2 linked regions of the Kluyveromyces lactis genome follow. Each later gene encodes a partner of the first gene's protein in a complex. Links are inferred from orthologs where the notes say so. Each region holds a gene or a part of one and is shown on either strand. Other genes may lie near its edges.

Evidence for each region. The genes of interacting proteins can lie anywhere in the genome.
Region 2: the proteins of MEC1 (region 1) and LCD1 are in contact, whole or in part, in a cryo-EM structure (PDB 6Z2W), measured with the Saccharomyces cerevisiae proteins. The link is inferred for Kluyveromyces lactis from reciprocal best matches to the Saccharomyces cerevisiae genes MEC1 and LCD1. Residues at the interface, in NP_009694.3 of Saccharomyces cerevisiae: Ser24, Val26, Ile28, Asp67, Ser71, Glu82, Tyr83, Asn116, Tyr117, His118, Arg119, Trp121, Phe122, Arg125, Ala133, Glu136, Phe137, Tyr138, Gly139, Lys140, Lys143, Phe144, Leu165, Gly167, Lys168, Thr169, Glu170, Leu171, Tyr186, Tyr192; in NP_010787.3 of Saccharomyces cerevisiae: Lys187, Asn189, Met190, Val191, Pro192, Leu193, Asn194, Arg197, Ile199, Leu212, Gln214, Ile216, Tyr233, Gln308, Phe309, Arg310, Pro311, Asn345, Met346, Asn347, Leu348, His349, Val350, Glu351, Pro352, Ile354, Gln356, Tyr357, Glu373, Arg377.

The regions. Positions count from the first base shown.
Region 1 is NC_006039.1:1,367,503-1,371,961, reverse strand, and holds the end of MEC1 (protein kinase MEC1), read left to right. Parts: coding exon 1-4,082; downstream 4,083-4,459. Other genes in the region: NVJ2 (Nvj2p), read right to left, coding at 4,123-4,459. UniProt on the Saccharomyces cerevisiae protein: Serine/threonine protein kinase which activates checkpoint signaling upon genotoxic stresses such as ionizing radiation (IR), ultraviolet light (UV), or DNA replication stalling, thereby acting as a DNA damage sensor.
Region 2 is NC_006039.1:149,280-153,309, reverse strand, and holds LCD1 (Lcd1p), read left to right. Parts: upstream 1-1,398; coding exon 1,399-3,393; downstream 3,394-4,030. Other genes in the region: EMG1 (18S rRNA pseudouridine methyltransferase), read right to left, coding at 1-476; RPL37A (60S ribosomal protein eL37), read right to left, coding at 3,602-3,861. UniProt on the Saccharomyces cerevisiae protein: Forms a complex with the serine/threonine kinase MEC1 which activates checkpoint signaling upon genotoxic stresses.

The DNA.
Region 1 (4,459 bases):
ATAACCCAGAATTTCAGGTCCTAGAGAGACATCCCACTGTTGCTCGTAAGGTTTTGAAGGTTATTTCAACTACCAACTGGCTCAAGGTTTTCACAGAAAATCTCGGAAGTAACAATAGATATGTCATTTTGCAAACCCTGCTTGAGTTGGAAAAGTATTTCAGCACAACCATTCACAGAAAACATGTCGACGTTGTAACAAAACATGACGATTCGTCGCACCTGTCCACGTTATTGGGGGCATTGCTTGATTCCACTTACAAATTTAGAAATAGAGATCTCAAAATTTGTCAAATAGCAGCATCATGTATTAGCCTGATAGGACTATTAGATGTTACCAAGCATGCTCTACCCAGGAATACTAATCTATCTGAAGAAATTTGTGACTTTAATAATCATTCCCAAACAGTCAAATTTTTAATCAGTATTGTAAACAACATTTTAGTACCCGCATTCTGGCAAAGTGAAAACCCCACAAAACAACTATTCGTTGCATTGGTGATGCAAGAATCTCTGAAGTATTGTGGGCTCAGTTCAGTTAATTGGGATATTAACAGACCCGATGATTATCCTGTAGAAGCTAAATTATGGTCCAGGTTTAATGATATCTCTAAGACCACTTTGTTTCCATTACTATCGTCGCTCTATCTTGCCCAGTCGTGGAAAGAATATGTTCCCTTGAGTTATCCTTCGTTTAAAGTGAAAGATGGCTACCAAGTGTGGATACGCAACCTTACTTTGGACTTGCTTAAGATAGGTACAGAGGAAGATCATCCGCTTCACGTTTTTTCTTCTTTGATCAGAGAAGATGATGGTACATTATCAAATTTCTTACTGCCATTCATCACGATGGATATCATTCTCAGAGCCAATAAACATAACGAGTATTCGAAAATCATCGAAAATCTCTCCATAGAGTTCGAGTTCATTTTCAATTTCGATCTTCAGCAACTAAATCACTTTCAGATAGACTCGCTCAAGATGGCTTACAATACCATTTTCAGGGTTTATGAATACTGTAAAAAATGGGTTAGTAGTTTCAAGCAAGACTATCAAGCAGCCAACGGAACTTACATGATTCAGGAGGATAAAGTTTTGCAAGTTTTGGACCGAACTGAGAGATTCGTAAACACAATACCGTCAGACACCCTCGCCAAGAAATCGTTGGAAACAGATTCCTTTGAACGCTCAGCGCTTTACCTTGAGCAAAGTTATAGAGAACACGGAACCTCGTCTTTGGCGTCCACCGACTTATTGCAATGTATTCAGAACACATATGCCGAAATTGGGGATGTAGACGCTGTAGGTGGTGTGCTAAAGATGTTTTCTACTGGGAATTTAACCACAAAAATAGAAGAACTGCAATATTCAAAAAACTGGAAAATGGCTCAAGACTGTTTTGAAGCTCTTGGTGATTTTAAGCTATCAGCTAATTCTACCACTAGTTCAGAACTGGTTAAGTCATCAAATATGAAAATGTTAAAGTCAATGTATAGCCATCAACTATACGAAGAACTATTGATGAAGGTTAAAGTGCATCTTCCTGAGACGAAGGGATTCTTGGTCGATAATGACGGAGATTTGTTGAATATGGGTATTGAAGCTGTCAGTCAAACTGGTAACATTGTTGAGTTAACGAGGTGGATTGAAAGAGTGGAGCACATTCAAATGTTTAACGATCCCTCATTACTTTTGCATTATAATATTGCCAAGGTTTTGCAAGCTGTTAGTAGAAATCAGCAGCAAAATGTGGAGCGCTATATAAACAAATGTTTCACTCTTATTGGAGCCCAATTTACCATTCCATCTACTAGCACAACTTTGTTGAAGAATCGAGAAGTTTTGCAAAAGCTTCACGCACTTACAGATATCAAACTGCTGTGCAGCGCACATACTCAGTCTGAATTTTCAAATGCTTCGAAAGCATTAGATGGTAGGCTGTCGCACGTAGGTTCGGATTTTTCTCCAAATCATTATCTTTTGTCAATAAGGAAAACTGTAGAAATTATTTCAAAGAATCAGCATCTACAGAATGACATTTCGAATGTGTATTTCCAACTTTCTCAGCTTGATCGTAAAGAAAATCGTCTTGATTTGGCAGCAGAAGATTTGATGAATGCTTTGAAATATAACCACCATTCCGCGGAGCTTGAGTTTGCAGAAATTTTATGGAAACAAGGTGAAAAAGATATGGCCTTGAAAACTGTTGCAGAGATAACAAAACGATTTAAAGATGATCCTTCTACTGCTTCCTCCGAAAATCAAGATTTCAAGGAAGTGCTATTGAAGTATACGGAGTGGTTGGATTTGTCTAATAGCTCGGTTTCTGAGCAAATTATCAAGCAATACAACGAGCTTATTCGTTTTGATAAAAATTGGGACGCTCCATTTTACTCTATGGGTTTGTATTACAGTAAGCTTCTGGAGAAGAAAAAGGCTGAAGGATATGTTTCTGATGGCTCATTAGAATATAGATCAATCACAAACTTTTTGACCTCTTTCGAGAAAGGCTCTCCCAACATAAGACAATCCTTGCCAAAAGTTGTCACACTTTGGTTAGACACAGCTAAAAACGACGTGAATAATAGCATTTCTGATGTTAGTAATTATTCTTCAAGAATCTGCAACAAAATCGATACGGCAGTCAAAAATTGCGGTATACATATATGGTATACCGTTTTAACTCAACTTCTCTCCAGGTTAATGCATCCTCATACCGCGACAATACACACCATTGTTAACATATTATTTCATATGACGTTGGAATATCCTTCAGTGATGCTATGGTATATATCGATTTTGTTGAACTCAGAAAGCCTGGAAAGAAGGAATATAGGGAAACAAATAGTTGAAGCATTCCAGAAAAAAAACCCAAGGACTAAATTACCAGGAACAGCGATATCATTGGTGCAGTCATTGACCAGGGTATGTATAAAAGACGTTAAGAATACTGCTAGCAGATCAGGGAGATCAATAGATAGTGATTTCAAATTTAATCTAGAACTCGCGCCAAATGACATGTGTGTGCCCGTCAACATTAATTTAAAGAAGCTTTTACCATCCACAGCTACGAGCATGAACTCAGATCTATTCAAAAGTGTCATGGTTTCCATCGCCAGATTTTCATCCCAGTACATGGTATTTAACAGTTTGAAAAAACCGAAAAAGCTCACTGTGATCGGCTCTGATGGAAATATTTACGGCATCATGTGCAAAAAAGAGGATGTCAGACAGGATAATCAATATATGCAGTTTGCCAACACAATGAGTTTCCTGTTGAGTAAAGATGTCGAGTCTAGAAAACGAAATTTAGGAATAACTACTTATGGTGTTCTCTCTTTACGTGAAGATTGTGGACTATTAGAAATAGTTCCTAACGTGGTTACGTTACGTTCGCTTTTGAGTATGAAATATGAAAGTATGAAGATAAAATACTCATTAAAATCATTACAGGAAAAATGGCAATCAATACCTTCGGACCAAAAGTTGGCGTTTCATAAGGACTGTTTGAAAAAGTTTCCACCAGTTTTATATCAGTGGTTTCTTGACAACTTCCCGGATCCAATCACATGGTATAACGCAAGAAATGGATTTGTCAGATCTTACTCTGTTATGGCAATGGTCGGCCATATATTGGGTCTCGGGGATAGACACTGTGAAAATATCCTTTTGGATGTCTTGACAGGAAGAGTCTTGCATGTTGATTTTGACTGTCTTTTCGAGAAGGGTAAAAAGCTTCCTGTTCCAGAAATTGTTCCATTCAGATTGACGCAAAATATTACTGACGCATTTGGTATTATTGGAACGGAGGGTACTTTCAAAAAGTCAAGTGAAGTTACTCTAAGAGTCATGAGAAACAATGAAATAGGTCTTGTAAACATAATTGAAACTATTATGTATGACAGGAAAATCGATGAGTCAATACAAAACGCCCTTAAAGTTCTTCGAGACAAAATTAGAGGCATTGATGCCCGTGATGGACTGGCTTTGAGTGTTAGTGGGCAAGTGGAAGCTCTCACTCAAGAATCATGTTCGGTGGAAAATCTAAGTAAAATGTATATCGGTTGGTTGCCTTTTTGGTAATTATTCCTTAAAATCTATGTTACAATTTTCTACAAAGTTTCTAGCGTGGAGGCAATGGAGGAGGAGGGCGTTTTTTCCGAACCTGTGCGTTGATTTCCGGGATCATGTTCTCTGCTTCCTCGAGAATATCTGAAGATGTGATGGAATGCGGATTCAGGTTTTCATTATTTGTAAATGAGTAGCTCATCTCATGTCTCCTATAAACATCTGGAGATGTCGGGGAGTAAGACCCAGATGTTGACCTGGCTCTTGTTCTGTTAACAAACATCTCGGCACGATGAGACTCTGAAGTGTGATGTGAAGTCTCTTGTTTTGAATTATCAATGGATGAATTTTTGCTTCTAGGAACTCTTCTATTGGTTATCATTTCTGGAGTT
Region 2 (4,030 bases), about 1.2 Mb from region 1:
AATTTTTCTTCAGAGTTAACTGATCTGATGGATAGTTTATGCAATAATTGGACCATTAAACCTGAGAAACGTTTGAAAGTTCTTGGAATTCGTACAGTAGGGTTTAACTCGATAAGAACGCCTCGACTGGTCTGAATATAAACTTGAAGTTTACCAGCCTTATTTACAGGAGAATCTAATAGGGTTAGAAGACATTGATGAGTAATGTCGGGTCTAGCTTCGCTTATATCTCTTCCCATTTTCTTCAACAAACCTTGATGATCATCACAATTCAACAAGACGTATTTATCCCCACCAGGACCGTTGGATGATATTTTATGTGTCTCTAAAGAAGCCTGGGATAGCACCACAATAAGTCTCTTGGTAACTTTGTCCTTCGATGTTAGCACTGGCGGAGCTTGAGGGACCAATGATGCCGGCAAGACTTTCTTCTCACCATTTTTCATGGCATCTCTGACCTTAGAATCTTCAACCATATTATCTTGATATTATTTCTTTTGTACTTATTATATTACTAAAATGTACCGTAATAAAGCTTATCCTCAGTCGATAACAAACCACAGGAGCTGGTACAACGATGCGGCAAGTAGTTAAAGTATGGTCTCTTCCAGTTATTCTGTAACTATTCCATTCGATGAGCATGAAGTGGTTAATAGAAAAAAAAAAATTCAAACAGTAAAAAGAAATTCCGTGCACCGCATGTCATAGCTTCCAAATGACAAGAGGGAAGGGATTTCAAGGCATGAAATCGCCATTCGATACATGCGTTCGTTGTAACATGGTAGAATGTAAATCAATTGCATCTCTGAGAGTGTGGGTCTTGTCCCATCTTTCGATTGAGTATTTTCAGTAAATTTATGACTAAACATTGAAATGTCATATTTACTGGGCAAAGAGAATACTCTATGTAGCGTCAATATAAATGATCTTTCTAGACCATTCATTTAAATGATTAACAATTTTAACCATAGCAATATCCTTCTGAAAGAAACTTTTCTTATTATGATTGTGAATATGACATTGATTGTTTCAATATGTTAATATAATCTTTTTTATATTTTACAACTCTATGCCAGCATTAAGTCAAATATCATTAATAAATATTGTAATACATTCAAAGAGTGTACAGAAAGAGATATAGAAGTTACGGGACTTTAATTCAGCGAGTATAAGGGCATTATAGCGACATGTTATCAGCGTTAATGGGGAATGAAGGTCAACAACAGTGAAACCAAGAAACTATGTATTTTTTTTCTCTTTCAGCTAATGCAGATCATCTGCATATTTGTTTACACCTTAAGACCACAGAATTTGATTTAACCTTTAACTGTTAATTCATGTCAAGAACATTACCATGAACGCGTCAAACAAAAACAAGAAAAACCAACCTAGGCCAATATGGCAGATTTATGGGATGATAATGACGATGACGATGATATCCTAGAACTAGTGAATAGACCTCCGATGAGCCAGATGGCGGTACCTATTAAACCGCCAGAATCACAAGCTGAACAGTTAATGAAAGCGAAGGGAGAAGTGGGAGTCTTGAGGCAGAAGCTGAGTATGCTCGAAAAGACTCTAAGGGAACATGATGATAATCAGAAAAAGCTGGAATCAAGTCTGAAAAGTTCTCATGAAGAGGAAGTTACGAAGCTTAAAATCGAATTGGAACGACTTGAAGATGAACGAAAGTTCATGTTACTGGAACAGAAACATTTATTTACCCCCAGAAATAGCAGCAAGTCTGAAACTACCCACGAAACTGAAACTGCTGAACCATCACCAATTGAAAATAAAAGAAGAAGGATGGAACCCGTTAAAGAATACGTTACATTGACTCAGAATTTCAAAGTAGACGATGGTTCCCTTTTCTATGATCATTTGCTGAATTTTAAACTACTTGGTTCTGAGCACACAGTTCTAGAAATGCTCGATCACATTTGTACTTATAAGACAGATCTTATTTTGAGCCCGGAACACAAAATAATTAAGGCCAGGTTGCCTCTTGGCCCTCCTATTAGATCGTTGATATTTAAATGGAAATCCATTTACACCCTCGATCAACTAGTTGATAAAACACTAGAGATCTTGGCTATTGCTATAAAATCAGTAAGTGTACTTCCGGAAAATAAACTTGCCATCCCTTTCCTCATATCTTTGATGCATTGTACAATCAATTTTAGACATAGTGCGACCAGTGTTAGTTCACTGAAGGATGTATTTCAATTCATTACAGATTTTATCATCTCTGATCCTAAATTTTTGAAACAGCCATTGCATGAGAGTCCTTTGGATTTAGACGTTTCTCCAGACGTGTTTCAATATTCAATGCTTGATCAATTATGCATGACTTATTCGTTCGATGTCCTAGAGACATGTATTGTAATATTGCTAAACTGTAATACGCGGGCACAGGAAATAGTATTGAATGACGCTACTATTGCAGAGAACCTCATAAAATGTTGCAATTTTACTTTATCAATTTCATATAAGCCAATAATGCCAATCATCGTCAACGTAACGGAAATATTACTCGGTATAGTTGAATTGGATGGTGCTGAAAACGTTTGGAAAGGCAAATGGGCAGTATTGTTCTCAAAATTAATTCAAAATTGGGAGAGATCACTTACTTTTGACTCTGTGTCACTCAACTTTGCGGGTTTAAATAGGTGCTGTGGCGATAACTCCAATCATTCAATGATAGATAATATTATAAGTCTCGAAGAAGTTCGATATTTACCCATGATTATAGAGAACGAGTTTGAACCTCTCACTTTCACAGCATTAGATAACCTAGAGTATTGGTCAATTCAGATACAAATTAATATTACATTAATAATGCATAAACTGCTTCATCGATACCGATCCACTCTATGTTCGTTGGAATTTCTACAAAAGACTTTTTCTCTTTTCAGTAGTCATCAAGAGTTATTACTTACTGTGTTCTTGGATAGGGACCATATCAGTGATATTAAGAGACAGGAATTGTTATCAGTTTTATTAAAATTGATATACTTCTGTTGGGTGTCGATAAGTGACGAGTATAAACGTGCCTTAAGGCTAGACGAACTGACAATCTGTCTATGGCGTATTGTATATGGGTGGCCTGAGTCGACAGATGAATTATCCACAGAATGGGCTGCCCTAATAAATCCATTGAAAGCATTGGCGTTAGAGGAAGAGAAGAAATACTTTGATGACGCTTATGATGAAGATAATTTACCAGCATTCATGCACTCCGAGGAATTGGACATAAAAAGGGAATCTGCAGTTTCAAAATTTAATAACAACAGCTCATGGCCATTGAGAGACATGGCTAAATATATTCTCGAAAGCATAACCACTATGGATGAAGCGGATTCATTGTATGTAGCCATGGTTAGTGAAACTTGAGAAAGACGGAAGCGAAGAGAGCTCAGTTACTGGCGTTCATGTGCATCGACTTACACTGATCAAAGTGATAAATATTAGCATATTCCAATTATTTCATAGGAATGAACTCTGAAAAGATTATATTGATGGTTTATTTAGAAGTACAATGCTTATACAAAGTAATGAGATAATAAAAAATATGTCTTCAACAACATGATAATCTCAAAGTTTAAGCGGATTGTGCCTTAGCTTCACCAGATTGGAAACCGTTCTTGAATCTTCTAGAAACGTGTTTCAAGTATCTCATTCTACCGGTACCAGTGGTTCTTCTTCTCTTAGCCTTGGCAGCCCAGTTGTGAGATCTCATCTTAGCAGCTGGGTAACCACAAGAAGAACAGGTGTGCTTTTGAATGTGGTAACTACTACGGCCACATCTCTTACATAGAGTGTGAGACTTGTTGTGGCGCTTACCGAAAGATGGAGTACCCTCTGTTTAAAAAATTTGACAATGCAAAAAAATCGTTAGTAAAACTGTTTCCTTAGAGTAAATCGAACTCTCCACATGAGCTAGGTAGGTGAAGTGTAATATGATGGTCATTATTACTTAGTTGAATCTGTCAAAAAATTTCATAGAAGGTAACATAAAACCTAACCTGAT